Linked DNA regions of Rhinolophus ferrumequinum. The protein of the gene in region 1 purifies or fractionates together with the protein of each later gene. This does not show direct contact. Links are inferred from orthologs where the notes say so. Each region holds a gene or a part of one and is shown in the gene's direction. Other genes may lie near its edges. The genes, in order: ZC3H4, WDR82 and CSNK2B.

Evidence for each region.
Region 2: the proteins of ZC3H4 (region 1) and WDR82 purify together in Homo sapiens (affinity purification with western blotting; 4 studies listed by BioGRID and IntAct, with this or other methods). This does not show direct contact. The link is inferred for Rhinolophus ferrumequinum from reciprocal best matches to the Homo sapiens genes ZC3H4 and WDR82.
Region 3: the proteins of ZC3H4 (region 1) and CSNK2B purify together in Homo sapiens (affinity purification with mass spectrometry; 3 studies listed by BioGRID and IntAct, with this or other methods). This does not show direct contact. The link is inferred for Rhinolophus ferrumequinum from reciprocal best matches to the Homo sapiens genes ZC3H4 and CSNK2B.

The regions. Positions count from the first base shown.
Region 1 is NC_046298.1:43,142,358-43,152,577, reverse strand, and holds the start of ZC3H4 (zinc finger CCCH domain-containing protein 4), read left to right. Parts: upstream 1-6,128; 5' UTR 6,129-7,141; intron 7,142-7,686; exon of another isoform or gene 7,687-8,257; 5' UTR 8,258-8,262; coding exon 8,263-8,423; intron 8,424-8,521; exon of another isoform or gene 8,522-8,667; coding exon of another isoform or gene 8,668-8,681; intron 8,682-9,833; exon of another isoform or gene 9,834-9,857; coding exon of another isoform or gene 9,858-9,895; intron 9,896-10,220. UniProt on the Homo sapiens protein: RNA-binding protein that suppresses transcription of long non-coding RNAs (lncRNAs). LncRNAs are defined as transcripts more than 200 nucleotides that are not translated into protein.
Region 2 is NC_046300.1:47,898,838-47,909,205, reverse strand, and holds the start of WDR82 (WD repeat-containing protein 82), read left to right. Parts: upstream 1-6,028; 5' UTR 6,029-6,355; coding exon 6,356-6,516; intron 6,517-10,368. UniProt on the Homo sapiens protein: Regulatory component of the SET1/COMPASS complex implicated in the tethering of this complex to transcriptional start sites of active genes.
Region 3 is NC_046286.1:2,155,412-2,165,349, forward strand, and holds CSNK2B (casein kinase II subunit beta), read left to right. Parts: upstream 1-4,943; 5' UTR 4,944-5,176; exon of another isoform or gene 5,177-5,442; intron 5,443-5,629; exon of another isoform or gene 5,630-5,766; intron 5,767-5,963; exon of another isoform or gene 5,964-6,118; intron 6,119-6,365; 5' UTR 6,366-6,376; coding exon 6,377-6,448; intron 6,449-7,148; coding exon 7,149-7,251; intron 7,252-7,820; coding exon 7,821-7,936; intron 7,937-8,380; coding exon 8,381-8,456; intron 8,457-8,561; coding exon 8,562-8,751; intron 8,752-9,393; coding exon 9,394-9,484; 3' UTR 9,485-9,632; downstream 9,633-9,938. Other genes in the region: C3H6orf47 (uncharacterized protein C6orf47 homolog), read right to left, coding at 1-446; GPANK1 (G patch domain and ankyrin repeat-containing protein 1), read right to left, coding at 2,444-2,885, 3,406-4,016. UniProt on the Homo sapiens protein: Regulatory subunit of casein kinase II/CK2.

The DNA.
Region 1 (10,220 bases):
AACAATAGAATGATTTGAAGCTCTTTTTGAAATGGGCAAGTTTGAGAAGCACATACCTGCCTCTATAAATTTGTAATGTTTCTTCCAAAATTACTTGACTCCCTAGGAAAGGACCTTTCCTAACTGCTTTCCTGACCCCCAATCCAGCCTTCAACTGTGATCTTACTCCTTATCCTATTCCAGAGGATGAGATGAGGGTCCTGATGGGTGGAAGTTCAGCGACAGAATGAGAATGGGTTGGTAATTTTTATTTTATTTTATAAAAAAATTTTATCTTGAAGATCAAGCTTAAACAAAAGAAATAGTCCAGTGAATAGTCATATATCATTTATCCAGATTCATTACAGGGAAAAGTTTTCAGAACTACAAATCTCACCAGGAAACCCCAGTAGGCCAGATTTTCTTAAATATTTCCACCATATAAAAAGCCAAATATGCACAAATTCCTTAAACCAAAACATTAATTCCAGAGGTTTGAGTCACATGAACATTTCTATATTTAACTCCAAATATTCCCAGGGTAAAATGATGCCAACTAAGGAAATAATTATGGCAACAAGGGGATTTACTTAATTCTTTTGACCTTCCCTATGGCTGATTGCATTTTGCAAAGATGGCTACAACAGTGTCTCTCAACCTACATGCTCTTTAAAAAAAACAAAAAAACCCCACAAACTTTTATTTGTTTAAGTATGTTTTTCCAGGACCTATTAGCTCCAAGTTAAGTAATTGTTTCAATCTAGTTGTGAGGGCGCATCTCACAGTGGCCCCTGTGGGGATCCAACTGGCAACTTTGTTGTTAAGAGCACAGCTCTTCTCTAACCAACTGAGCCATCTGGCCACCCCTACATGCCCTTTTTGCAACATCCCTTTGACACTGCTCCCATTGAGGGACGTTCATTTCCCTTGAAACTATTCTGGCTTTGGTGACTGACCAATAGAATGTGGCAGAAGGGACATTGCTTTACTGCCAAGCTAAATCAGGAAAGGGGAGGTCACTTTCACCCTGTGCATGGGAACACTTGAGTTTGAGCCCTGATAAATCAGATAAGCAGTCCCATTACCCTGAGACTGCAGGTTGAGAGGAAGCCCAACCCATGAGCAGAAACCACATGGAGAAGCCCTGAAATTACACAAAGAGAAAGAGATGCCAACTCAGCCCCCAGCTTTCAAGCCTTCCACTATTCCATTTCTAGACACGTGGTATGCAACCACAGAAATCCCAGGCCAGAATCAGACAGCCAAGCCTTCCTGACCCACAGGTACTGTGAAAGATAACGAAATGAGGGGGTCAAATACATGGTGATAGAAGGAGACTACTCTTCAGGTAGTAAGTACACAATACAGTATAGAGATGTCATGTTATAAAGTTATACATCCAAAATGTATGTAATGTTATTAACCAATGTTCCCCCAATAAATTTAATGAAAATTTTAAAAGATTATAGGAAAAAAGGGAAATGATTGCTGCTTCAAGCCACTAAATTTCAGAGCATTTTTTAAATTGTGGTAAAATACGCATAACATAAAATGTACTATCTTACCCATTACTGAAGAAAAAAAAGAACGAAAAAGAAAACACCTTCCCTTTTCTCTCTCCATCCAGCCCCTGGCAATCACCATTTTACTTCTGTTTCTATGAGATTGCCTATTCTAGATATTTTACATAAGTGAAATCATACAATATTTGTCTTTTTGTGACTGGCTTATTTCATTCACTTAGCATAATGTCCACAAGTGTCATCTACGTGTAGCATGTGTCAGAATTGCCTTCCTCTTTAAGGCTGCATATATTCCATTGTAAGTATATACCTCATTTTGTTTATCCACTCATCTATCAATAAGACACTTGGGTCTTATTGGGACCCCCTCACTTGGGGCTTTTTGACGATGATGAATAATGCTGCTATGAAGATGGGTATAGCAGTGTCTCTTTGAGACCCTGCATTCAGTTCTCCTAGGTATTTATTTACCCATGGGGCAGTTAGTTTTTCAACAACATCTAATTAGAACAGCTGCCCAAAGTGAAACTTTGTAACTTAAAAGGGGTGGAGAGCAGTTATGTAGTAGATCAGGCTCCTGGGTTTAAGGATTACATAATTAATTAGCTGCACCCAGGTGCCTGCTCACCATTAACCAAGTCACTGGTTCTCAATCCCACCTGAAGATTAGAATTACCTAGAGAGCTTTTCAGCAAATATGGTGCCCTGGTCCCTCCTCCAGAGACTCTGATTAATTGGTCTGGGTGGAGCTGAGACATTCGGATTTTTACAAAATGCTCCCCAGATGATTCTAAAATGCAGTCGGGGGAGAACCATAGAACAAAGATCTGTGTGCTGCTCATTCTAGTCTTTTCCTGTTCGGACCATTTAACTCTTAGGGCTATTTAAGACATTCAACTAAGCTCTGAATATTTCTTATGGCTCTGTACAACTTGCAATCACACTTTCTAAGTCAGTCTGTAGACACTGGTTAGAGTAGGAACTTAAGGGAATCAAGTGATAAAACTAATAGGTTTTAATAAAATTATAATACCAATAATAAATCTAAAATATTTAATTATAAATTGATGGATTTTTCATCTATAAAAGGTGTTATGGGTAGAAGAATTGTGTCCTCCCAAAAAATATGTTCAAGTCCTAATCCCTGCTACCTATGAATGTGACCTTACTTGGAAGGTCAAATAAAGATGAAAGTATTAGGATGGATCCTTCTTATGATGCCATATTGGATTAAGGGTCCACCCTACTTCAGTGTGACTTCATCTAATTTAATTAGTTATATCGTCAATGGTCCTATTTCTATGTAAGGTCACATTCTGAGGTTCTAGGAAGGCCATGAATTTGCAGGGAGGGAAACACTATTTAACCTAATAAAGGTATGAGTGTATATGTGGGGAGCTAGCTAGCTAAATGGGATAACTCTAGGATTTGGATTCAATCTAGCAGAATTGGGGGGTGGTCAGTGGGTGGGAGTAAGGAACTGAGCCTGGCTATGAGTTTATAATCACTGAAGTTGGGTGATGTTTTTTTCATTTTACTCCTTCCTCTATTTTTGTATATGTTTAAATATTCCACAATAAAAAGTTTTTTTAAACCCTCATTTTAAAGTTCTGAATCCATTTCAAAGTTCTGAATCCAAAGCTGTTGCACTATGCTGTGATACTTTCTGATTTCAGAGGAAAAGGCCAATAACAGGATCAAATAACCTCTCTGTGGGGAAAAGATGTTTAGAAATCATGGAATGACCAGGCAATAGAGGGCCATATCAAGTATCTTGTAGATAAGACTTTGGAAATAAACACTTTTGCTGAGTTGCTTTGTATTATTAAAATGAAATGTACAGGAATTATAAAAAGAAAAATAAGAGGAGTCAAACTATTTTGAAGAGTTAAAATAGATCCATGGTGTTAAATGATTTATTAGTTAACAGACTGATCTTGAAAGTGACCCTGAAGATCCTTGGCACGTAGTCATTTGTAATTGGTTAGGGAGTGACTAAGCCATTACCTGGGAGGATGCAGTAACTCTTGTAAAATGATCACTTTGTGAAAAAGAGCCCTGAAAATAAAGCTAACTGCTCTATAAATTATTTTCTCCTGCACTTCTAGACTCATTAAACATCTAAAGTGTCCCCTTTCTTTCTTCCTCCTTACACTTGTACAAAACTTACAGGGAAAATATTCTCAAGTTGGGGGGTATATATGTTTTTAAACATTTTTCATTGAGGTGAAATTCATGTAACATGAAATTAATCATTTCAAAGTGAACAATTCAGTGGCATTTAGTACACTCACCATGTTGTGCAACCGCCACCTCTATCTATTCCAAAACATTTTCATTATACAAAAGTAGTGATATACGTCTTGTACATTCCCAAGAGTCTACCGTGACTCTCTGTGCTCACAATTCCAAAAGAACTGGAAAAATTCAGCATTGCAGCTTAATATAACTTACTATAAATAGTTCTTTCCATTATTTAAGAACTAACATTAACTTCGTTCATTAGGTGATCATTCAATACCAATGTCATGTTGCAGGACTTTCTATCATCCATGGTCCCTGTCCTTTAGTGCCAGTAACAGCTCACTCATTATTGTAATGCCCAAAAAACTCCCCTCAAATTTCCAAAATGCCCCCAAGGAGCAATACTGTCTCCTTGAGAATCAGTTGACAACCAAAATTAATTTCCCTCAATAATTTCAATAGTGTCCTGTAGGGGGCGACATCACCTCTTAAGAACCAGATAGACCGATCAAAGATCATCTCGGAGCATGGACTTTATTATTTCCCATCTTCCCAATAAAAACAGGGTTAAATTAGCAAGGAAGAAAGGGGAAATAGTTATTGAGTTGGTAGTCAACAGGATCCAAAACACCATAATACCTCTCTTTGGCCAACGGTCTCCTTTTTTCCCCAGGGGTTTCCAGAGGTTGGAGTCAGCAGCTTGTTTTTCTTCCACACTTTGAAGAGTGTCTTCTCTGTGAAGGACTGTTTACCATGGCACAAAGAACCCACCTTAGAGCCATCCTAGGAACTATAAAAATAAAGTCCTTTGCCAGATTAATAACGTTCCAAGAGTACAAAGAAACAGGCACCACGGAACCATTGGTCAGACTTATGGGTATTACAGAAGTTTCCCTCTCAGAAAAGTACAAGGACCTGCCAGCTCAAAGACATTTTGGAGATCCAGAGGAAGAGGTATGTTGGCATTTTTTTCTTTCCAATATAAAGGGCAAGTTGCTGAAACTTGCACCTAAGCCACCCCCGCCCAACACACTAAAAAAACAAAACAAAACAAACACAACAATGTTTGGTGGCTCTCTTGGAGGAATTTTGGAGGCAACTTGGATCATAGTTGGGAGACTTGCTCTCACTCATCAGCAAAGAAAGCTCTAAGGCTGCTGGGGCCCCGTGCAAGAAGAGGTTTTCTAGCTGGTACAAGACGTAGTACAAAGGACTCTGCCATTTGGGTCTTCTAATTCAGTGATCCAGGGGTTCTTAGAAGTGGTGCATATCCTACAATTTACTTGTCTTTCTCCTATTGATGAGCATTTAGGTAGTTCCCAGTTAGGGGCTATTTCAAATAGTGCTGCTGTGAACATTCTTGTTCACAACTTTTGGGTTGCATTTCTGTGGGACATATACTTTTGGGGGCAATTGTTGAATCATAGTGGAGGCATATATTCAGCTGTATTTGACACGGCCAGTCTATTTTCCAAAGTGGTTCTCAGGGAACTCCTGTGTGTCTTCTCTATTCTGTCACTCTACTCCCATACCAAGCAATTCTCCAACTGGCAGACACCAGCTGCCTTGACTATTCTCTCTCTAGATAATCTCAGAAATAGCTACCAGGAGGTTAATTCAAAGTTTCAACGTACATTAGTACAATCAGGAATGTAAGCAGTCTTTCGTTGGTTTTTGCCCTGCAGTTGTTAACTGATTAACCTCTCTTATGTCTTCCTTCCAACTTCCAGCCCGCTTAATTTAATTTAGGACATCTCAGAATTTTTTTCTTGTCAAATAAAATGTCCCTACCAAGAGCAAATCTTTTAATTGGCCCACAAGAGACCTTTTTTCCTTTCGTGTGCCATGACTCTAATAAAATGTTGACACATGCTCATAAGAAAATTGTCCAAAAAAGGTGTGTTTAACATACCAAGAGCTAGTGGAGCAGGATTATGGGAATAGAAAGGAAAATTACTCTAAGTGGGTCATTATGTGTAATTGTGAAAGATGTCCTTCCATACGTTGATTTCTGAACTCCGTGTATTCTAGCTATGGACAAAACAACACTGGTTGAGAACATTGTCCTTTCCAGGTGTGGTTTTCAGCAGGCGCCATCTCTGAAGCTTCAAGAGTCCATTCCAGAAGCCTAGAGAGCACCTGCTTTTAGGTAATGAGGGAAATGAAAAGACTAGCAAATCCCAGCAGACAAGAATATTTCTCCATGCTTTTTCAGTGCCATACTAGCATAATGTCTACCAAGACTTTCTGACATCTAGTAGTTACTTTGTCTGACTTACTATGTAATTGTTGATTAGGGTATATAGACTTGGTAAAGTTATGGAAGATTCTCAAGTTTCAAATGATTTTTGTCTGGCAGAAAACACAACCCTGAGAGACACTGACCAGTTTTGTATCAATCTTCCCAACCTAATTGCAGCATTCATTTTTCCATTGTCTATGCATACCCATCTCTCAAGGCCCTCCCTTGAACCAGCTTTATTTTTCTGCTTGTTCTCTCATTAATGCGTTAAATAACATCTTTGATGCATACTCACAATGTTTTTGTGTGATGGTCTTGTTTTTAACTTTTAAAAAATTATACGGTGAAAACAGATAGTAAATAAAGTCCAGGGATGGTAATGTTGATAGAAATAGGACAGATGAGGGCAGAAAAAATAACACCAATACTCAATAAATGCTTATTCCAATGAAAGCAAATTGGGGAATTAGTCTGCCACCAGTGGCTGGGAAGTGGGACATTGGATGTCCCACTACCTGTTTGACTTTAGTACCAAGATACCATTTCCAAGTGATGATGAAGTTATGCTGAGCCTGCCCACTTCATCACTTGGTGTGTCATCTGATAATACACCATCACCTGGGATTCTGTGGCCAGTCATTGGGTCTTCGTAGAACCTATGAATAAGCCAAAAGCTAATTTTCAGAACAAGAGGTCATGACTTTTTATAAAACTCAGGGTGCATGCCTCCTATTGAGGTTTACCAGAGGTCCATAGACAACCGCTAGGAATGCCAGTTCTTATTAAAGATTTCGCTGTGCTGCTTATGGCTAATCCTTGAGCCAATTACTTAAGTACCGAGGTTCAGTCTATCCATTAAATGGGAATAGTAGCTCCCCTGAGTATACTTGTGAGGGTCAAGGATTTTACGTTCTTCTACTGTTTGAAGCCGGTCAGCGTTTCCAAGTTCAGCATTGGAGAGCCTTCACCTACTACACACCAGGTTCTTAAAACTTCACCAAAGCACTACCAAGGCCCGCCCTTCCTGCACCGCCCAGTGATGACGTCACCGACCGAGATCTCTAATGACATCATCTCCGGGTCGGCTCTACTCCGCTCCATCCTCCCATTCTCCGGAAGCCTACAACTCCAGCACACGTGCCTCCGGCTTTAGGTTATTTTTTTCTCTCCGTAGCCCGAATTTCTTCCCTCCCATTCTCCCACCTAAAACTTTCGATTCTTTCCGCCTTCCCTCAAGCTAGTAATTTTCGGTTCCTCCCGCTTGCTCTCGGGCGAATTCCTCAAAATAGTTTACTCCGTTAATTAATCTCCCTTCCTAGCCTGCCTTTTGGCTCCTTCCTTCTAAATCCCATTACCCCCGCGCGGCCTCATTCGGCTGTTTCCGCCTCCTGCCACCTACACCGACGCCACTTTCGGATCCTTCCGGACCGCTTCAGTGCCTTGTTTCCCAGTGCCGATCCGCTTCGGCTATTTCCGGCTCCTTGGGACCTCCCGTTTTTCCTCTAGCCTCACCCCCAGCACCATCTTCGGCTCTTTCCGCCCCTCCCCGTCTCCTGCTCAGCTCCTTTCGGCATTTTCCGCTTTCCCCGGCCTCATTTCTCCCTTCGAGTCTTTCCGCCGCCCTTCGGGCGAGTGGTCAGTACCCCTCTCCTCCACGTGACGCGGCCTCCGCCTCCGAGTTCCCCCTCCCACCTCGCCCTTCCTCCCGCCTCAGCTTCCCAGCCCGTCCGGGCCGCGCCGCCATTTTGTGTGAATTTCTGACTGCGGCGGGGACCGGGCAGCCGGGGCGCCCAGGGCGGGCAGACAGACAGACAGTCGGCCGGTCTCCGCCGCCCGTTTCTCTCTCCCTAAAATCCTTTTTTTTTTTTTTTAAACCCCCCTCGCTCGCTCTCCTCTTCCCCCTTCCCTCTCGCTTGCTCCACCGCGCGCGGCCCGCGCTAATTACACCCAACCAGCCACCAGTGTCCGTGTCCCCCGGGTCTCCCACTCCCGGGCCCGCGGGGGTGCGTGTGGGGGGGGCTCTCGCCCCGATGAGGGCCCTGCGCCCGTGAGCGAGTGACCCTCGGGGCGGGCTGCGGAGAAAGCAGGCGGCGAGAGGCCCGCCGAGGCCTAGGCCGCGCGGCCTACGCGGAGGTCGGCACAGAGGTGATTCCGAAACCGAAAAAAATATATACTCATTCCTATCAGGAGCCATCAGAGCTGAAGTGTGCCCCTCCCGCCACGCCCAAGCAGTCCTTTTTCGTGCATTAACATCCCCTCCCCCCCAAAGGAACTATGGAGGCCGCGCCCGGGACCCCCCCGCCGCCGCCATCAGAGTCGCCGCCGCCGCCATCGCCGCCGCCGCCATCAACGCCTTCGCCTCCTCCGTGTTCCCCCGACGCCTGCCCGGCCACCCCGCACCTCCTCCACCACCGCCTCCCGCTCCCTGACGACAGGTCAGGCCCCCGGCCCGGCCGGGGCAGCGTCCCCGGGGGGAGGAAGAGGAGGAGGAGGAGGAAGGGGGGCGGCCGCCATGTTGGGCCGGGCCGGGGAGGAGGAGGAGGAGGAGGAAGGGCGGGGTCGGTGGGTGTCTCTCGCTCGCTCTTTCTCGCTTGCTTTCTCTCCTGGCCTCATGCGTTCCCCCCCCCTCGCCGCGCTCGCCCGCTCTCCCTCGCTCTCGCTCTGTCTTTTTTGGGCGCCATGCTGAGGGGAAGGTGAGGAGGCGCCCCCCGGACCCCCCGCGCCCGCCTGCCCGCCCTGGGAAGGGGGCGCCGGGGGGGGCTGCGGAGGCCCACGGGGGTCCTGGCTGCCCTGCGCCCGGAGCTGGCAGCCACGGGCCCGCCTGCCCGTCGCCTGGCTTCGGGGAAAGGGATGGGGGAGGGGCCCCGGACCCTTTTTAGGGGGATCTCGAGCAACAGCCCCGCTCTTAGGGGTTTGGAGTTGGGGGTCTCCCAAACCCCGGCAGTATCCTTTCTCCTGGGGGAGGTCTGCCCTGCCCTATTTGGAGAGGTACCCTAGCTTTCTTAGGAGGTAGGAAGTGGGGGTCTGTTCAGTCCTTTCTCCATCCTCCTACTGGGGGGTCCTTTGGGTGGGGGCTCTCTTGCGCCTTTTTTTTTTTTTTTGCGGGAGGCGTTTACTAGGTGTTCCCTAGAAGGCAAAAAAGATGGGGGGATCTCTAGCCTTTGATGGAAACCCCTGCCTCTTTTGGGGGGGGAAGACCCTTCCCCATGTCTTTACTTAAAGGGAGGGGTCCTCTCGATTTTCTTAGGTAGGTGGTGCGTTTTTTTAGGGGGGGCGGCGGGAGAGGTTTCCTTGCCTTGAAGGGGAGAGGAGGTTGGTCCCCTCTTTCTCCTGGGGTTCTCTCCTCTTCGGGGCTGAAATGGGGCGCCATCCCTTCCGGGAGAGAAAACGAGGTTTGCGTGCTTTGGCAGGGGGTGAAAGGGAGTGCCCCCCCTCCCGTTTATTAAGTGCGAAATGGGTTCGCCCCACGCCCTTCTTTGGAGGATGATAAAGGGGCCAACTCCGCGCGTTTCAGGACGAGGTTGGGGCCCCCGTTTCCCCAGCTCCAGCACAAGGTTGGGGTGCAGGGTTCGCCCACCCTTTCCTGGTGGGGCAGGAGAAGAGGGAGGTAGTGGATTTGGAAATGGAAGGAGGGTTTCTGCCGACAGGAAAGCGAGTCTTGGAGGAGTGGGGGTGGGGAAGGAAAGAACGCGCTGGACACAGGCTAGGGCTGCCGGGAGCGCAGTCCCGGCTGGGGAGTCGTTGAGGACCTTCCTCTAGACAGGGGCTTGGCTAGGGCTTCCCTGCCAGGCGCCACTGCCCCTTCTCCCCACTCCCACCTCCCCTTCTCCCTTTCTCCTTCACAGACCATACTTTGCCTTTTAAAAGAAATGCCACCCACATTCAGAGACACAAGTGCAGCAGTTTGGTGAGCTTTTACAAAAAATTTTTTTTTTGTTTTGTTCTGTTTTGTTCTAATTAAATGTATCGTCCTGGGAATCGCAGCCCATCGCAGCCTGACTCCAGTTCAAGGAAATAAACAGATTAGCAAAGGTCTGTTCGCTAAGCCCACGTTGGGCTTCCGGGCCCCCTCTTGGGGGCAGGTGCATTACTCAAAGGTGCTTACACGCTTTATTCGACCTCTAAGGAGTTCTCTTATGTCAGAAGTGTATGTCTTACAATGGGTTGGGATGGTAAGTAGCCTCTTTTATTGAGTAATTCAATTATCTCCCTCTTTTTGTCCCTTTCCTGCC
Region 2 (10,368 bases), on another chromosome or scaffold:
TTTGGCTGAAAACATTCAGTAGGTTATGGCTGTTTCTGTGGTTATTTTTTAGGTTAAAAGGGTCCAAAATACGGTATCTCACTGGGTGTTTCACTTTCCAACATTTCCAGGACACGGTACCCTCTGTCCTTGTTGCCGTCTAACTATTCAAAGCAGCCTTTCTAGCTTGTAAATTAAAAAAGCAGGAATTGCAGGGAAGTGAGTGTTCTGGAAAGTTGCCATCCACTTGGGTTTCACTCAGGCTTTTTCCAAACCCCAGAACAAATTGTAGCCAGAAGCTCTGCTCTTTGTCAGCAGGCAAATTGCAACCCAGACTTAGCCAGGATCTTGCCCTCTCCCCTCAGAGGACAACTTTTCTTTTTAAAAAAAATTTTTATAAGAGCTTATTTGAGTCAAACTGACGACATATGCCAGGGAGTGAGATCTCAAATGCTCCAGAGAATAAGTTTTGCAGCTTTTTTTTATACATTTGAAATTAAGGAGGGAATGCAAGGAAGATTACATGGAGTTGGGGGAAAAAGCAAGGCAGGGATTGGATTACAGGACAGTTAACAAGATTATGTGCTCTCTTGAGGGTGGTTATAGCTTATTTTAAAGATGTGTTAACCTAAATGCACAAAAACAATGGACAGAGCTTGCTTAAGGCAAAGAGAATACTTTAACTAAAAAGTTATATGCCTGGGGCGTGACTACCTCCCACGACCTGACCAGTTAGGAATTTATGATCAGATCACCCTGTGAGGTTACTTTCCATAGAACCCCTTATTTTTCATCCATTTTGATCATAAATCAATCTGAAGGACGCATTGATGACCAACCTTTTGGTCGGATAGTGTGGTCTCACAGTGCTAGGAAGTCTCATTCCTAGGAGTTCTCTGTATTGAGTTTGTCTTGACCACTGGGGATGGGGCAATACTGTAACCATAGGATCTGAGCTGAATTTTCCCCAAACAGGAAGGGCAGGTAAATGGAAGGCAGTCAGGTCTTATGGCCTTTATTATGAAGCACTGTATCATTTCTATCCAGTGAACTATCATGATCTGAGGTTTGCCTCTGTCTCATTTTTCTGTTTTTGGCATCTACTATAATAACATTTATATAAGCCATAAAAAGAATATTAACAAGTTACCTTATACATGTTTAGTAATCATAAACATTGTACTATATAGAAAAACCCAAAGAATAAGTCTAACTATTATTATGACTAATATCATTAGCAGACAAGTAAAGACAATCAAACAAAATGGATTCTGAGTTTAGGATCAATCCATAGGTATAAGCTATCCCATGTCTTCTGGATAGCTTTCTATCTCTGATGTCATCAACTTCTCACCCTAGAGGAAGGAGTTTTTGATGTTTGTAGACAGGGGTAGATGTCCATTCATAGTTATAGGGTCTCCAGTGAGGTTGGAAAGTGTCTTTTATTTGGTGTCCTTTCCAATAAACAATATCTAAAGACATGTCTCCTGTGAGTTCGCTGTGAAGGAAGTGGTTACCAACTTGACATTTTCTTGAGTGACTCTGTCAGACCTTGGTAATAGTGTAAGATGTCTCCTTTCAATTATGTCAGCTCATAATTCCTTCATCTAAATCCAGCTTCAGTCCACTGTGATGCATGAAGAAATGTAAAAACTGAAAAATGTAGAGCCAAGGTACAGGGAAGAACCAAGTGGCCATCTCAGGTTTCCCAAAGCCCTGATTAATCATTTAATTTACAGGCTTTGTTTACCCATACACTATACTCTAGAAGTTTACCTACATATATTGAGATTTTTAACCCTTAAAAACTTAATGTCTAATAAAAACTAAGAAGTAATCAATTAGCATTCTTTAGCTTGGACATTTTATAATCTCTAGAAATATTTTTCACAGACATAAAGGTCAATTATTAACATGGACATGTTTTTGTAAAACCCAGGCAAAATAGAGACATGTCTGTTTTTCTTAAACCAATAAACTTAAGCTAGCTTTTATTCACTAATAATTAATGTTAGATCATGTGAACTTGAAAATCATATGAGTTAGTTTCTATATTTCTGAGAATTTTAGATACCCAATTCTTATAAGTGCTTGCCTTTAAATTAATTTAAACAATACCATCTGGAGGTAGAAAATTATCTCTCATTTATAACATACATATATAGACATATACAAACAGACACAAACAGAGACTAGTTGGATACAATTTTTGTTTTGGAGGTATTTACAATTTACAATTTACAATGACCTTCCCCCTTTTAAAAGACAGCCATTTTGAATACTTCAAAGAATTGGGTTGACACCAAAACGACATCATGGGTTAACCCATTTTTCTAAATTCTCTTTTTGAAGCTTTGAGAGACCAATTAAATTCTGCTTAATTTTGTAGCTGGCTTTTTCTAATTGTGTTCACAAAAGATTAATTTAGAAGTATCAAAAGATCCTCATCTTGGCCATCTTAGTTATAAATAGGAGGCTAACTGTGGTGGGCCGTGTTGGCCTGGGAGGCATGATTTTGCATATTAATGTTGAGATCTGTAGAATCTGAACAAACTTCTAGGGAAAACCAGCCCTTCCATGCACATCTGCAGATAAGCCACATGCCATAGATATCCCTATAGGACTGCTTCACGCCCTAGAGGAAAATTTTCCTTAGACAACCCCATGGAGATTCTTAGTCACCTAAGAATACCTGTGCAAGGGCCAGTGAGAGCTTAGCAGATGCCACCAGAACCCTGATGCTTTCCTAGGCATGAACCCCTCTCCTGGGCCTCTCTCTTGGGATGCACTTGTTCCAGGGTGCCCTTTTCTTCTCCCTGGGGCTCCTCCCAGCTTCTCTGCGATTATCTATAGTACCGTACCGCACTGGATGACTCAGGAACCCCTCTCTACCACTCCAGATTTGGGGATCTGAACAACTATCATCATCCCATTGGCTATTCCGGTTGGGGAAGCAAGTGTCCTTTCTCTCGGAGCTAGACAGTTCAGTCTCTCATTTACCCAGCAAGATTTTGTCACAGACTCTCAGTAAGCAATCTAATTAAAAAGTCGAGATTAAAAGCAGCAACTCACTTTTCTCCTTTCCCTGGGTTATCTCAACCCTTATCCACCTCTAAGAATTTCTAAGAACAGCTCAAATAAAGTAGTGGCCTGCTCCTTAAAGCAAGGAAGCCCACAATTCTGAGAGAAACTCACCCAAGTTCACCAGAAGTGAAGCAGGGAACTGGTGGGCACAATGGGCCCTAGCTAGGGTCCACAGAGTGATTCTGGGTGGGCTTCTTTGGAATCCTGCCATACTGTGCCAAGTAAGTGTTGATGTAAAGAAATGTCCAAATCTGTAGAGAATTTTTATAAGAAAGAGTTTATTTGAGCCAAATTGACAACATATGCCAGGGAGCAAGATCTCAAATGCTTCCAATAACTTGTTTTTATGTGTAGGGATCTTTACCTTTTCTTTACCCAGAGGATGGGACACAGCCTTAGTTCTTTCTGGAGGGACCCCACCTGTCCCAGGGTTTTTGTTTTGTTTTTAGCATTGTCCAGATTATATCTGGATCTCTGGATAGCACATCTTCATAATATCAGTGATTAAAATGTTTCACAGTCTTTCCTCTTTATTTTTCTTCCTCTTTAGCCACTGCAATTTAGTGAAACAAAGTAAATAGGCTCCATCTCCATTGTTGGAGGTCCCAGGCCATTAAACTTTTGAGAAGCTGCAGCACAAGTTAGAGATCTATGAACTCTCATGGGTTGCACCGAGTTTAACTCCTTGCACAGAAGGTTAAAGCCAGGGTTCGTGGTACCTATTTTGTGATTAGATATCGCTTTCTTTTGTTAGGGATCAACTTTCCTTCCTTTAAGGCAAATAAATCCCTTCTTAGGAACCATTGAAACAATTTCGTTGACTACAAAGAGGGTAATGAAACTGTTCTATACCTTGAATGTGGTAGTGATTGCACAACTGTATATGACTGTTAGAACTATTGATTAAAAAGGCCAATTTTTACTCTACATAAATTATACCTCGAACATGGAAAAATGTGGTCTATACAATACTAAAAAAGGGGAAAGTGGTTTATGTAGATATATAAATAAGGAGGGAGAACTCAGGAGAATTTAAAACTGTATTTTGTTGAATGAGGAGACAATTCTCCCTCTTAAAAATTTCTTTGTAATTGATGCTGAATTTTGGAGCTGTAAATACATTTGAAAACTTAGATGAGTGTTTATAAAAATGTGTGGAACACTTAAAATTTGTTCACTGTATGCACTTTATGTTATGTATCAATTAAAATTTTAAAAGAAGGCTTGAAGTTCTGCCTGGTGGTCACATCGGTGTACAAGGTGTGATTAAAAAATACAGTGAAGGTTTATTTTTTAAAATATTTTTAAAAGTTCTTTTTCTTTTTATTTATTTTTTGAATGTTTAAATTTAAAAAATTTATTATGGTAAAAGACATTGCCATTACTCCTCCTCAAAATACTCTCCCTTACTTCGAACACACTTATCCCATCATTCTTGCATTTTCTGAAGCAGTTCTGGAAGTCCTCTTTCGTGACTGTCTTTAGTTGCGCTGTCGTGGCTGCCTCGATGGACTGAATTGATTAAAAAATGTTTTCCTTTCATGGTCATCTTGACTTTGGGGAAGAGCCAGAAGTTGTACAGTGCCAGATCCGGTGAATAAGGTGGATGAGGACACACTGCAATGTTTTTGACAGAAATTGCCGTATACCAGAAGCGATGTGTGACATGGAGTGTTGTCATGATGGACAATGAAGTAAAGACACTCAGGAATAAGGACTTCCAGAACTGTTTCAGAAAGTGGCAAGAACGATGGGATCAGTGTATTCGAAGTGAGGGTGGTTATTTTGAGGGGGACTAATGGCAATGTGTCTTTTACTGTAATACATTTTTTTATTTAAATATTCACCATATCTTTTAATTACACCACATATATCCAAATGAAAAAAATTCATCCACTAAAAATTTTTGCTGTCTACTGTATATTATATACCAATAAAAAATACAGAAATTGAAAGTATGTTGACTCTGTCATGATGTGTAGAGCATTATGACTCTGATAGTTGTCAGTCACAAAGTGACAGTCATGCCAGAGCGTCACATGAAAGGTGTACCCAGTGAAGGCCCTAACCAGATAACTCCAGATGCAGGATGGAGTGTGACCACCTGGACCATTTTATCTGACTGCAGATAGCTTTATTGGACTGCAGATGGGTGCACTGCACCCAGTCTTGAGCATAAAAACAGAGGCTCTCTGACAGCTCATCGCTCAGGCCTTAACAGCTGACAGCTTCATCTGCACTCCTCCCAGATAGACCGTTTGAAGTCTTCGCTCCTGACCATCTCACAAGCCCGGCCTGACGCGGAGGCTCTGCACTTCAGCACCGCAGGGACTCTCACTGAGCAGGACTCTTCCTCATCCTTCTTTTGTAAGACTCTGTTCACCTCGCCTAACCTTATTGTTTGCAAACCAGTGTGACCCTCTTTTGTGAAATCACCCTACCTTTACTATTGGAGGCTATCCTTTGGCTAGAGCCTTGGTTAATGCCCGTGGTAAACCGACTAGGTAGGATTAGATCCATGACTAGATCCATTCTAATAAAGCCTGACATTGTGGGGAGACACAAACTGATATGAGACTGCTACTTTGATAGTCACCTCCCGCTCAGGACATGTGGATTTGCGGCGAAAGCCTGCCTGCTTGCCAGCTGATGGGTTCACTGACTGACCCCTGGAGGGGCTTGGCGGATCCCCGCAGGACCTGCTTCCTGGTAAAATGCGGATGGGGCCTCTGCAGAGGACGCGCCCGAGTCTCCAGTGGGGCTGCTAACCGCACAAAGGCCCACGGCTCCCAGGCACCAGCGGTCTTCCCGCCCACGGAGGAGGTCGTGGACATCCCCACCCCCCTCCTCCCCACAGCCAGCGGCCATCCCGCCACTGCACTCCACGCCGCCGTGCTGACGTCATCGCCCCGCCTCCCCGCCTCGCGCCGCCGTTCCCGCTCCGCCCTCTTTCCCGGCTTGCGCCGCGATGCGGCTCCTCGCCCTAGGCTCCTGCTTGTCGCCCCAAGATGGCGGACACAATGAGCGGGCGTCGCTTGGGTTGTCCCTGAGGCGACTGTGAGGAGGATCGGTAGGCAAGGCCTCGCAGTCAGGCAGAAGAACATTGCACGAGCCGTAGGAGGGAGAGGAGGAGGCGGCCTGATTGTCGGCCGCCTTCCAGCTCGTCGCCGGCGCGGCGCCCGCCCCGCCCGGGTGGGCCCTTCGGCAGCCCGCCCGTTCGTTCGCCCGCCCGTTCGCCGCGGGGCCCCGCCCCAGCCCTGCTCCGCCGCTGCTGCTGCCAGCAGCTGCCGCCATGAAGCTGACCGACAGCGTGCTGCGGAGCTTCCGCGTCGCCAAGGTGTTCCGCGAGAACTCGGACAAGATTAACTGCTTCGACTTCAGCCCGAACGGCGAGACGGTCATCTCGAGCAGCGACGACGACTCCATCGTGCTCTATGACTGCCAGGAGGGCAAGTGAGTGCGGCGGTGGCCCAGGGCCCGGGTCTGAGTCCCTCCCTCCCTCTCGTGGTTCGCCCCGCGGCCAGCTCCCCTCCCCGACTCCGGCCCCCCGCCGATTTTGTGCTCGCTCCTGCCAAGGCCGCTTCCACTCTTCCACTCCAGAGATGTCCAGGAGACCTTTTTTTTTTAAAAAAAAAAAAAACAAACAACTAATGATAGCATTAATATTTTGTGTGTCTTTGGTCTCTGAGAGCACTTCTGCATCTTTTGCCCAACTCCACCTTGACCTTGACCTTTAAGCGCCCGACCCGCCCACCCTGGCCCCAGCTGGTAGCTTTTCCACCGCTCGGACTCCAAAAGGTGCGGATCGGCTTTGCCCTCCGCGGAGAACCTCAGAGGCTGCTCTCCTGCTTCATCAAACGGCGTCAGCTTGCTCTCTGTGCCTTCTCCTCGGTGACCTCGATTCAGCCCTGGCACTCCGCCCAACCCCTGCCCCTTTGCTTCCCGCGGTCTTTCTGCCGGAAGGCCGCGTGGGTTGCAGTTCTTAGCTGTCAGGATTTATTTGTTGTGCCTCTTTGGGTCCCGTGTCCTTTCCTTTCTGTTTCAAATCATGCTCTTCCTCCCTCAGACCCATTGCCCACGCTTATTGTGAACTTTGTAGCAACATCTGAAACTTTTCCTTTTTGCCAGACACGACCGAACTTGGCTCGACCTGAATGTGAACCTCCCATTAGAACAAAGAAAGCATCGTATAACAATTTCATGTTTCCTCTTATGTTTAAAGAAAAAAAAACACTTTAATTCCAAGTCTAGTCTGACCGTGAAATTTCTGCGTTGCCCCAAGTGCTGGATACCCACCACACCTGCATCTCTGCAAAATCTTACAAGCACAGTATTTTCCCTTTTCCCCTGGGGACCATGTCAGCTTCACCTCACACTTACTGCCTCCACGTCCTTGCTAAATTGTGAGCTCCTTCGGAGCAGAAGCTGGATTAAGCTAAATTTTATTTCCTCTCAGTCACCTTCCCCGAACAGGTTTGCAGATGTTTGATGTAACTCGGTGGCTACTGGTTTTGTCAGATTTCATTTTGTTGCCTTGATCCACATCTTATTTTTGGAATCTGGGTTTTTCTCTACTTTCTCCAGTTCTTTTGCCTGAAAAACAAAAAACAAAACTGGTGTCTTCTGTAAACTTCTTTTGGGACTTGTCTCTTCGTTTGTAAGTTTGGTTATCCAAAGTAATGCTGTTTTGGTCTGAGCTATAGTGTTCTCCCCAGTTTTTCCCCCACTGGGGCTATGAAAGAGTATTACGTAACTGGCTCTGCATCTGCCTGCAGTATGTGGAAGAATGGCCCATAGTGGTGGTCCTGGGGGGAGAGAGGGTTGTCAGCTGGACCTATGCTGAGTTATTTGAGTTAGTGTTACTCATTTAGTATTTGGATTTCCTTGTCTGGCCACTTGAATCAGCTTGGAAGAGAGAATAAGGTACAAAGCTGGGGGTGCGGGGTCGTTGTGGGGTCCTGGAGCTAGAAGTAACTTGAAGCTGGCTTACTTGAAATGTTTAGTGCTTGTGCACAGATTGGAACCTTTCCCTGAAATCTGAGGATGGAGGTGTATATCCTCATTCAAAGGAAATAAAGGTGGTGATAGCATTTCTTCATAGTTTGTCTCCTAATTTCAACTTGTTGCAAGGGATGACAGTGACTTGAAGTCCTGTCTTGTTAAAAGTAAAATGTTAATTTTATGATATAATGCAGTTTATTCACTTACATAGCATTTTTACATAATTACAAACTTAAGAGTTACAGCAGTGTTTCAAAGAACTCCCATATGATCCAGTAATTGGCTACATTGCCCCCTTTGACTTTTTCTCTATATATGTATTTATATGTATGCATTTTTTTTCTGAACCATTAGAGAGTAGATTGGATGTATCAAGCCCCTTTATCCCTAAACACAGATTCCGGTGACATGGTTTTCCTAAACACATAAGGACATTCTCTTATATAACCAGAGCACAGTTATGCAAATTAGGAAATTTAATATTGATAAAATAGTATAGGGCATGCTTTTAAAATTTTTTTCTTATCAATTGTGGACTTGTTTCATTGTGATCTGTGATGGGAGAGTGGTTTGGTAGGAGACCTGAGTTCTAGTTTGTCCTTGTGACCAGGTACCGTGTTTCCCTGAAAATAAGACCTACCCAGACAATCAGCTCTAATGCGACTTTTGGAGCAAAAATTAATATAAGGCCTGGTATTGTATTATATTAAATTATATTATACCCGGTGTGTTATAGTAAAATAAGACCAGGTCTTATATTAATTTTTGCTCCAAAAGTCGCATTAGAGCTGATTGTCTGGCTAGGTCTTATTTTCCGGGAAACACGGTATGTCACTGGTCAGATCACTTCTCTGGATATTAGATGACCTCTTTTAGCCTTTAGGAGTCCATGATCCTAAATGGTAATAAGAAAACATTTGCCACTAGTGTAGGTCAAACTAACATTGGAAGAAAAGTAATGTTGCCTTGTAAGGCATAATACCTTTATTAGATGGTACTAATGTTAACATTATATTATAGCTAAAACAATGTTCTTTATGCTTGATATTTTCTAATTTACTGTTCATTTAAACTTATAATGGAGTTTATCCATTGAGTGATTTTTTTTCAACTTGAAAGAATATGAATCTGTGGTAGGTGATGTGAATTATTCAAAGGAAGGCTTTAATATTATTTATTTATTCATAATTGATCACCAGAATCATAATAAGTGGAGAGAAGCTTACCAAAATATTTGTGAAAAAATGTTCCTGGGCTTTGTAAAGATCACCTGAAATGGACGTAATACATTAGGATATTGCTTTCAAAGTAGGAAATGATAAGAGGTAAAATATTTCTGTTAAGAACAAATCTCAGGTTAGTGTTATTGATAAATTCGAGACAAATAGGCCACAGAAAAATTTTCCCTTACTCCACACGCTTTAACGTTGGCTCTTTAGGCTCTGTTTTCATAGTTGTAGATAGACTGAAATACTGGGATAAGTAAGCTTTTCTTTCCACCGGTAGAGGCAAAGTCAGCTTATCTTTTGAGAGCAAGAACATGTGCACATGCTCATACTCACTCCCTCCTTCCCTCCCTCACTCACTGGTTAGTTTTACTACACAGTAACCCCAATGCGGAACCTGGGACAGTGGACTAAACAAGGTAGCCTTTGAGCTGATCTTTCTAGCTGATTTTTCAGTATGGTAAGGATGTGGAACATTCAGTGCATTTGGAAGGAGAAGTCTTGTTTGGAAATAAGTTTTATGTAGGGAAACCCTTAGCCTCACTGACATTAACAAAAATTGAAACTGCAAACGATTGACTTCATAAAGCTGCCTGAGGCATCTATCTCATTGTTTAGCATCTAGGTTCCAAGAGGATTTTGCATTGACAGGGTGAACGTCTTTTTCATAAATTGGAATTCTTGGTAAACATTGGTACAGGATTTATGAAATCCTCCTACGCTGAAATGTAGAACATTGTAAGTTTTTGAGTATGGTTTCAGCTTCATCTTCAAGCTTCTATAGAAGAAGACATTTAAGGAGCTTCAATGAATGGATTGACATTCTCTAGATGGGAAATGTGTAATTTTACATTAAAATAAAAAGAAAACTGATGACTATTTTGCTAGGGATAGTTAAGCTTGCCTTTCCAAAGGCTCGGTAAGTGCTTTGGACCTTTAGGACAGGGAGGATGGATAGCTTCTGCAACAGGTTATATATATTAGGAAGTTTTGCATCAGGTTTCAGTTTTGATGAATTATTTCTTCTTGAACAAAGAACCTAATAATTGAGTGGCTTAAGAAAAAGTTCCGGCCTTAT
Region 3 (9,938 bases), on another chromosome or scaffold:
CGCCGGCCGGGCTTCTTCACTGGGGCTTCAGATCCAGCGGGGCTCAGTCCCCCTTCAGGGGACAGTCCAGAGCTCCTGGTGCCGCCTGAGTCCACAGGATCCCATGCCAGTTTAGGAATGGCCCCTGCAGCCTCCAGTCTCCCAGACTCTTGAGGGCTAGAGCCAGTCTTGTCCCCCTTGAGGGAATCCATTCTTTTGCTCCCTAGTTGCTCAACTTGGGTCTCACTGCTTGGTACTGGAGCAGCCCCAGAGCTCCTCTGGGCCCCTGAGTCCTTGGTCTTGGGAGGCCCCACATCTCCCATGGTTTCTGGGGCACTGTCCCAGTCACTCCCTGAATTTTCGGAGGAGCTGTCCACCTGTCTGGGTTCTGGGGTGGGCAGGTCAGGCCTGGGTTTCCGGCGGCCCCAAGGGCGAGGTAGCCAGCCACCAAGCCGTCGCAGGAACATGGTTGGAGTGTGTAATGAGCCCCCAAATTTTGGGGCCGCTTCCCGGCACTGCTCAGGTTTGAGGGCTGAGGGTCTCCTCAGGTGCCAGAGTCTGTTCGGGCTCAGAAGAACAGGTCTGCTTGGCGAGTCCTACTTCGAATTCAGAAGTGGCTCCCCACTTCCCTGGATGGTCATACAGCCTCAAGTGGGGCAGGCAGCTTGTTTCCTTTTTCAGTTTTGAGGTAAAGAAAGGAGGCACATCCAAATTCACTCACTACCACCGCTCCCCACACACAAGATTCCAAGAGTCTCAAGATCTGACAAGGCCTGGGTCACCCGACAGTGTCCTCCCCGGGTTTCCGGGTTTCATTCCCAGCAAGCAACACCCCAAGTTTCACTCACCAAGGCCACGCCCCAAGATGCCCCAAAAACTGGGGAGGCGGTGCTGCATCCAAGAAGAAAGGTCGCCCCAGGTCCGAGGTGCTCCGGATCAGGGGAGTCCTGAACTGCTTCCCTAGGGGACCTCAGGAATAAGATGTCTCCTGTTGGGGGTTGTGGGGAGATGTCCAGCGAACTCTAGCCAGCAGCGTTCGTCCTGTGAGTTAGAAGGCTATGAATCCTACAAAGCGGCCGGACCCGCACCCGAGTACGCAGCCGAGACGCGCGGCCTCCGCAAGGTCAGGCCGGAGACGTCCTTCGAGACTCCAGTTGCGAGGCCAAGCGCGGGCCCGCCTGGGGGACCCAGGCGTCCGGGCTCTGTGTGCTGCCGCCCCTCCCGGGCCCAGCGTCAGGGCCTGGGCCTCGCCGAGTCGCCCCGAGCCGCAGAGCCCGGAAGCAGCTGCACCCGGACTGGAGGGCCAGGCGGGGCGGAGCCCGCAACTCGTGGGGCGGAGCCTGCGGACTGCCCGCCCCTCGCGCCCGTGCGCCGCCAGTACGCGCCGGGGAGCGCACCCCGTCTCTCTAGAGACCGCCAGGACCTCTAGAGACCCGGTCCTCTATATTCATCGCCCAGAGGCCCCCTGGACCGCCAGTGCGCCCCTGAACTCGCCCCGCCCCTTCAGTTCTTGGGTTCTTCCCCGCACCCCCCACCACTTGTCTTCCTGCCCGTGACTTCATAAATGGCTTTTCCGGAAAAGTAAACTATGAGAGGGGTTTGGGGGAATTGAGTAGCTGTTCCCTGCCCCTCCGTGCAGATTTTACTTCCTGGGTTTGACAGGTGAGCCCTTCATTTGTCTGGCACCTGGTATTAGCAGCACAAGAGATGAGGGAGAGGGGAGAATGGGAAAAGCTAGTGTGGATGAAAAGGATGTGCTTCCCGCCCTCCTGAGTTTTCAGGTAGTTAAATACAAGAACGTTGACTTCATTTTTGGGAGGCCCGAGCTCTGATCCCAGTTGGGCTAACGGAGTACATGCTGGGTAATCTCAGGCCCCCCCATCACACTGGCCTCTTCCTACACTACTACCTACCCCGTCTCATCACCTCCGAGCCTCCCCTTGTCACTGCGCACTGTTTGATCACATGGCTGTCTCCTCCACCAGCCGGGAGCAACTTGGAGGTTAGGACTGTCTTATTCCTATTCTTAGCGCGGTATATGAACTTGTGATTGAATTAGCTGGAGTAGTCAGAAGACCCTTCCTGGAGGTGAGACTCGCATAGAGCTGGGCAGTTCCTGGCTCAGGGTTGAAAGATAGGTGGGCCGCTCTAGAGGGGGCTAGGACCTGACAGTGAACCAGATTGGCAAGAAGGTGACCCTATCATGCCCCTGGAGGGGCTGCCCCTATTGCCTCAGGTGGGGCTTGCATGTGGCCCCCAGACTTGTTTGGCTTCCCGCAACAGCTTTCAGAAAAGTTAATAAAACACAAAAGAGTAAGAAGGTTGATTTATTTCTCAACTCTCACTCAGCTCCCCTCTCCCAAAGATAGGGCCTACTGACCAAAACCTGAGGGTCTGGGACCTGGACAGGTCAGAGGCTCAAGTTCAGACCTCAGCAGCAGACCAGGGTCAGACCTTGCCAAGGTCAGAACTCAAGGTTCATGTATGTCCTCAGATCCCGCTCCCAGGCTCTGTCCTTCTCCTCCTGCCTTCTCTCCTCCCTCCGGCTCAGTGTAGTCACCTGAGGGACTCTCTCCCTCCCAGCCACTGCTCGGGTATCCTGAGCCCGAAAGTGTGTAACTCGAGGTTGAGGTGCTGGTCTGTATCCTAATCCTTCCTGGTCCCTCTTGAGGACTGTGGGGATGGGGATAACACGGCCCTTGCCCTGGGGTCCCAGCCCCATTCCAGGCTCCCAACCCCCCCTCAGCAGTAGCTTGAAGCCTGGGCTGGATGTGGGGATCCCAAGGGACAGGTTGGGGGTCTGGCGATCCCGGGACAGTGACAGCAGGTGAGCAGTAGATGTGTGATGGTTAGAGTCTTGGAAGTGGGCATCACAGGTGTCACAGTACTGCGGGGAGGACTGGGACCTGCAGAGGACGAAGAGAAAGGGTGAGGGCAGGGTTGGACAGGGTCCTTCCAGTTTTTCTGCTAAGGAAAAAATTGCCTTCTGCCCCGCTTAGCAATGAAGGACCAGAGGGGAATAGTTGGGAGAAGAGATGGTAACTAGGCCTCATAAGGCTCTTGGGCAAAAAAGGAATAATGGCTATAGCTAATGTTTCCATAAAGCTTACTATATGGCAAGCAGTGTTCTAACACTTTACATGTATTAATGCATTTAATCCTAACAACCCTGAGAAAAGTGCTCTTTTCCCCATTTCTCAGATGAGGAAACTGAGGCACATAGACGTTAGGTTGCTTGCCCAAGTAGAGTTAGCATTTAATCCCAGAGAACTCATGTTCATAACCACTCTAGCACACTGCCTTCCCTGTCAACCTATACGGGGATGGGGGAGAACCCTTCAGCTCTGTGCTGAGGCCTCTGGTGTGGAGTGGCTAGGAAGGGCAGAACACACTGAAAGAAGGACATGGGCACAGGCGTCCCCTCACCGGTTCTCTGGACTCCTCATCTCTCCGTGGCTCTCTCTGACGGTGCGGGCCACTTCAGGGAAGCCCGCTTCTTCGGCCAGCTGAGCAGCATCCCTGCCACCCAGCTCGCAGACCCCAACCCAGGCAGCCCCTCGCTCTAAGAGATAGCGCACAGCCGCTCCCTGGCCTGCTCGGGCAGCACACATCAGGGGGGTCCACCAGAAGGCATCCCGAGCATTGATATTCCCCCCAGCTCCCCCTTCCTCATGGGGATCCAAGAGCCTTCTTAGTTCTGCCAGGTTCCCCTCCTGGGCTGCCCTCAGTATCCACTGAGTCATTCTGTCCTCAGCTTCAAGAGATCTCCTTTGTCCATGCCCTCCTGCTGCTCCTGCTGCAGCCTCCCTCCTCATTCTTCTCTTCTTCCGCTTTCTCTCACTGGCAGGCTCAGGCTGTGATCTCTGGGGTTCAGGGGCACTGCTCTCTTCCCCAATCAAAGCCTCATAGAAAGCCCGGGCTGCAGCCCCATCCAGGGTAGGCTCCAGCTCTTCAGGCTGTGCCTGCTGCTGCCCATCTTTCCAGAGGTCGCTGGGGTCGGTGGCCGGGGTGAAGGTGATGAGGGAGGGCCTGGGCATGGCTGTGGGAGAGCTGAGAAAATCAGACTAGGCAAGGGGAAGATGAAACATGCAAGCCAATCCCGTGGTGGCCCTGCAGTGACCACAGCCACCTCCAGAGACCTGCTGGGATGAGGGAAAGTAGCTTTAGATTAAAACAAACAAACAAAAACCCTCCCACCCCAAAAGTTACCTCACAACCTAGGACCCTACAGGGCCTAAGGATGATAAATCACGTGGAAACACGGAACCCTACAATAACAGACCATGCCCTTTAGTAAAGCTTAACAAAGACTCCATGGGACAGTTACGCAGAGGTCCTGCGTTCAGCCCCCTCCCCCAACCTCATCAACAATAAAGAATAAGTAATCTCTTTGAAACTACCGCTCTGTAAGGCATACCATTAAGAAAAACAATCAGTCTGGCCCTTTAGACTTTCCTTGATCCTATTTTGGGTATTATCTTCTCAAACAAAAACAGACTTGACACTTCTCCGGAAGCAGGAAGCACATTTGGGGGAAGGCTGCAACCTGCGTTGTCTTGTAGCTTTCGTACTGCAAAATGGCACCTCTATGCAAAGCAGTTCACAAGATCAAGTAGCCAGACGACTAGAAGACGCCTGAGTGGAAAAAAACCAAACTTTTACTTGAGGGCACAGGCTTACAGAAAGCACCAGGTTTCCCGCCTTGCAACCTTTCCAATAGTATTCGCGCAAAGTACCACGTGCCAGCATAGCACGAGGACCGAGGATCTGTCAGTTGGGGTCCTGCTTTTATATAACGCCCCACAATGCCCTTCGCCTCCCTCAACTTGGTCCCAGCTCTGAGCTCATTTTCTGGAGCTGGGAAACCACTCTCTGGGTTAAAAAAGGCCCTGAGGAGGCGGAGGGAAATCTATGGAATGCCCAGAGCTGTGAAATAACGTCACGCTGCCCCTCACCATTACTCCAATCAGGGTTCGAAGGTCACACTTAGCGCCCGCAGCAGAAGGCCTCATTCAAGCCCTAAGAGGAAATGGAGAACTGCAAGGGGACGAGCAGCAGAATAATGGCTAGCACCACCTCAGGTTAGCGCTGGGCCGACCCGACTCTCACACCGCTCCGCTCAGCCCAGCACATCCTACGCAGGTCCCTCAGCACGGAGGCCGGCCTCACCTCCTGCCTCAGGCGGCCGGACCCCCAGGTGAAACATGGGGCCCGTCGGGGGTCTCCAGTGGCGTGTCTGGTTCGGGCGACGGGCTGCCTGGGGATGAAGTCAGTCCCCTGGCCAGCAGGGGCGCGCCGGGGCCGAAGTCTCGTTCGCTGTGTGAGGGGAGCGGCAGGAAATCACCCAGCCACCTTCGTTCCTTACCCCGCCCCCTCGCGACCCCCGGGTTCCGCGATCACCCGACTATATTTTTCAAGCTCTCTGGCCCAGGACACGGTACAGGGCTTCCGCTTCCGGTGGAGCTTCGCTGCGCCCCGCCCCTAGCATCTTCCCCAGGGGCCTCGCGACACCAGGGTCGTGCGCAGGTCACCCTGGAATTCGTAGTTCGCCTTTCCCTCGTTTCGCCAGTTTCTCACCATCAGAGACTCTATCTCCCGGCGTCCATCGCGGCGCCCGACCCCTGGCGCTTGCGCGTTGCCCTCTTCCCCACCCTCTCCAATTTCCACTCCCCCCTGCCCACTTCGCCTGCCGCGATCCGGTCCGCGGCCTGCGCTGTAGCGGTCGTCGCCGTTCCTTGGAAGTAGCAACTCCCCTCCCCCACCCCGGTCCTGGCCCCCGTCCAGCCGGTGAGTCTGAGGTCGTCGCCGCGCTGAGTGCCCTGTCCCTGGGCACGGCACATGGGGGTCTCCGCGCTTCGATGTGTTTGGTGGAGAAGGAAGAGACCTGGTCCGGCACCCAGGGAGGAAGAGGTGGCCTGAGGGGCGGAGGAGGGATGTGGGGACTCCTGCGAAAGGGAGCTGAGGGCCACCTCCCCCCCTCCCAGGCCATGAGGAAAAGAGGGGCCCATCTCTTGCTTGGAAGGAATAAACTTCGGCACGCTTGGGAAATGCCCCGGAACATGTAGAGACCTGAGGGAGCACGGCCAGAGTTGACGTGAAGGAGAGAGGGGACTGGCCTTTGGGAGCGTCAGGGACGTGGGTAGGACTGGTGGGTCAAGACCCGTCGGTTTCTCGCAAGTGGCGGGACCCCAAAGAATTTCTCATCTCAGAAAAAAGGGGTTGAGCTGTGAATAAGAGGATGTGGGGCGAGGTCCCAGAGTCTGGGACGCCTTAAGGAAAGGTGGCCCCAAATTCTTCCGTGGTTGGAGAGCAAAGTGTGGGAGGAGGGAGGATACCAGAGGCAGGGAGGGAGAACGTGGGTTACACTTACACTCTTCTTTCTCCAGCTGACGTGAAGATGAGCAGCTCAGAGGAGGTGTCCTGGATTTCCTGGTTCTGTGGGCTCCGTGGCAATGAATTCTTCTGTGAAGTGAGTTCTCTTCAATCTCCCTACCTTTCTCCACATGTAGTCTGGCCAGAGATTCTCCCACGTATTCAGCTTCTGCGCACTCGTCTCGCATGCTTGCATAGAAACGTTTTCCTGTCAAGGAAGAGTGCCCTCAGTAACCCACCACTAATTTGTGGTGAAATAGTAAGACTGGGGCCCAACTCCCACCCCTGCCACCCGCCAGCAGTATAACGTTGCACAAGTTAGTCTGTCTGTTTTATTACTAGAGGGGTATTGGTAATATCTATTTCTGGGGACTGGTAGGAGAATTAAAACGCCGCGTTGTAAAATGTTTCGTAGCATTTAACATAATGTGTTTCAACGTAAGGGATGTAACTGCCTTCAGAACCCATGCTTTTCAACCCCTACCTTTCTCCGCCATCTGCCCCTAAGGAGAGAACAAAACTGGTTCCTAGAGGGAGGAGCAGGAGTAGGGACAGGTATCTTGAAGGGGAAGCCTCTCTAAGGAAGGGAGTGCTGTACATGCTTATCCTTAGAAAAGAAAAGCCAAAGCTTCTATGGACGGCAGTGTAGGTAAACTGGGGAGAGAGACTCAAGTGCTTCTGCTGAGTTGGGAACAGAAGCAGCTGTCTTGAGGATAAGGCACCAGTTAGAACGACTTGCTCAGGTCAATGCCAAGGACTGTGCCATGGGTTCCCTCTTGACCTCTGCATCCTGACAGGTGGATGAAGACTACATCCAGGACAAGTTCAATCTCACTGGGCTCAATGAGCAGGTGCCTCACTATCGACAAGCTCTAGATATGATCTTGGACCTGGAGCCTGGTGAGTCACCTCAGGGTTGTTTTGTGTGTGTATGTGCTTTTTTTCTCTTCATATCGCTATTCATCTGCTTCTTGAATTTCTAAACTTCCTTTTTGTTGTCTGATTCCCTTAACCCAAAATCCCCTACTTCGTTTTGATTGCCCCTCCTGATTCTTGCCTAGTTTTGTGACTGATACCACTTGTCCCCGCGTTCTGATGCTATAACTCAGCTATATTCCATAATGCATTTCCCCAGGGTTCTCATTTTCCGCTTCTTTATCCTACCTTGCACTTTCCAGCTATAGTTACATCTTCTGCATTGATGTCTTTGCATTTGTGTGTTGAGGAGGGAATTGGGAAGGAGAGAAGAGAGCAGAGGCTGGGAAGGTGTGGAGAGAAGGTAGAGCTACCTTGGGTTAGTGGAAGCGTCAGAGGCCCGGGTTTCTGGGTCAGGTGCCCACATGATAGGTGGGGAGAGACTCAAAGGTGGGTGTACTGAAAACTGAGTAGCCAGCAGCCCCCGGGGATGGGCAGGGCACCCAAGAAAGCTGTAAGACGAGTGGTTGCATTCAGCCGGGGCCCTGTTTCAGATGAAGAGCTGGAAGACAACCCCAACCAGAGTGACCTGATTGAACAGGCAGCCGAGATGCTTTATGGATTGATCCACGCCCGCTATATCCTTACCAACCGTGGCATCGCCCAGATGGTGAGGCCTCTCTACTCCTACTTGATTCCTGAGGCAGTAAGGGAAACAGGGGTTCCTGCAGCAAGAAACCACATGTTTCAACCTTGTCAAGGAGTCTAGCTGAGAAGAGGACAATGACCTCAGAACCTGGGCCTGGAATTTAATCCTGATTGGGGGTTGTTCTGAAGGGGGTGTTTTCAGGGAGGGGAACGTAACCTTGGACAGAGAATTGTTAGAGACTGTCTCTTTCTCGGGGAACAAACAGCAAATGGCTCTGATAGTCTGCAGCCTGCCTAAGTGGAGGAAAGGAAGCAGAGAGTCACATGGCCGGTCTGGGCCAGAGAAGGGGCCTCTGGACAGAAGGAGATAGGAACGGGGCACAGAGTGATATGGATTGGGCAGAGGAGGGGATTGCCTCTTCTCTTCACACCTACCCACCAGTCTTTTCCATTTTATTCACCTCAGTTGGAAAAATACCAGCAGGGAGACTTTGGCTACTGTCCCCGTGTGTACTGTGAGAACCAGCCAATGCTCCCCATCGGTAAGTGTTGGAGAAGGGGAAGGAGGGCAGCAGATGGCAGGTCCTCTGGAAAGGAGGTTGGGCAAGGTGGGAGAGCCTGGCGTGCTGAGCCTGGCTATCTCCCAGGCCTGTCAGACATCCCAGGTGAGGCCATGGTGAAGCTCTACTGCCCCAAGTGCATGGACGTGTACACACCCAAGTCATCGAGGCACCACCACACGGACGGCGCCTACTTTGGCACTGGTTTCCCTCACATGCTCTTCATGGTACACCCGGAATACCGGCCCAAGCGGCCCGCCAACCAGTTTGTGCCCAGGTGGGGAGCACGGCAGAATCACCAGGGGTCACAGGACAGGCCCAGACCCCCCCATAGAGAAGGGAAGAGGGGGCAAGGTCCTTTCTTGAGCTCTGCTTCTCCCAAAGCCAGGGCTCTCCCTGCTGAGGGACCCTGCCCTGGGGAAGTTCTTTGATTGCCTACGCCTCAGTCTCCAGATCTGTAAAATGGGGGTGATAATAGTACCTACCTGGCAGGGTATTTTTAAATATGTGAAGTGCTTAGGATAACGTTTGGCACTTGAAGCACCATTGAAACAGTGGCTGTTCTTACACCGTCTTGGTGTTCGTCCTTGGCCAGGACATCTCAGAGCCACATTTCAGGTGTGTCTTATCTTCCCTAGAGCATTGTTTTTCCCCTGGCGTGGGGAAGGAAAGTTCAGTTTTACATTGAAACAAGTACTGATACAGACATCTGTGCACATACATACATAGCCTAGACTTGAGTTTTAATGGATGTTTAAGGTACATTCCCAAATATTCTGGAGGGGAGGAGTTTGGGAACCACTACCCTTCAGCACTGAGCAGGCTCGTGGACGAGCTGGGGTGGGGAGCAGGGATGCAGGCTGCTGGCAGGGTCGCGTGGGGCTCACTCTGCTGCCTCTTGACCTCTGCCCTGGTCCAGGCTCTACGGTTTCAAGATCCATCCGATGGCCTACCAGCTGCAGCTCCAAGCCGCCAGCAACTTCAAGAGCCCAGTCAAGACGATTCGCTGATCCCCTTCCCACCTGTCCCTGAGTGTCCTCAGTCTTTGACACCTCCATTCCTTTGCTGCCACCCTTTCAGGAACCCTCCATGGTTTTTAGTTTAAATTAAAGGAGCCATTATTGTGGTGGGAATATGAAATAAAGTGGAAGAAAAGGCCATGAGCTGGTCTGGTGCTTGGGGTTGGGGAAGGGAGGGTAGTGGTGTGCTGGACGCCAGGGGTCCTCATGGCCTAGTCCACCCTCCCCAAGTTGAAAACCAGCACAGATTTGTGCCCTGTGGATTTGGGTGATGGTGTTAGTAGCAGAGCAGAATTCCTAGGACTGGGTATGCGGGTGTGCAGTCACAAGGAAAAGACCCAGAGAAAAATGAGATTTCAAAGACTAGAGAAATGCTTGTTCTTTTGGGACTGCTTACGGCTGTCTGTTTATACTGTAAAGGGAAATAACACTATCTTTCGGTTTT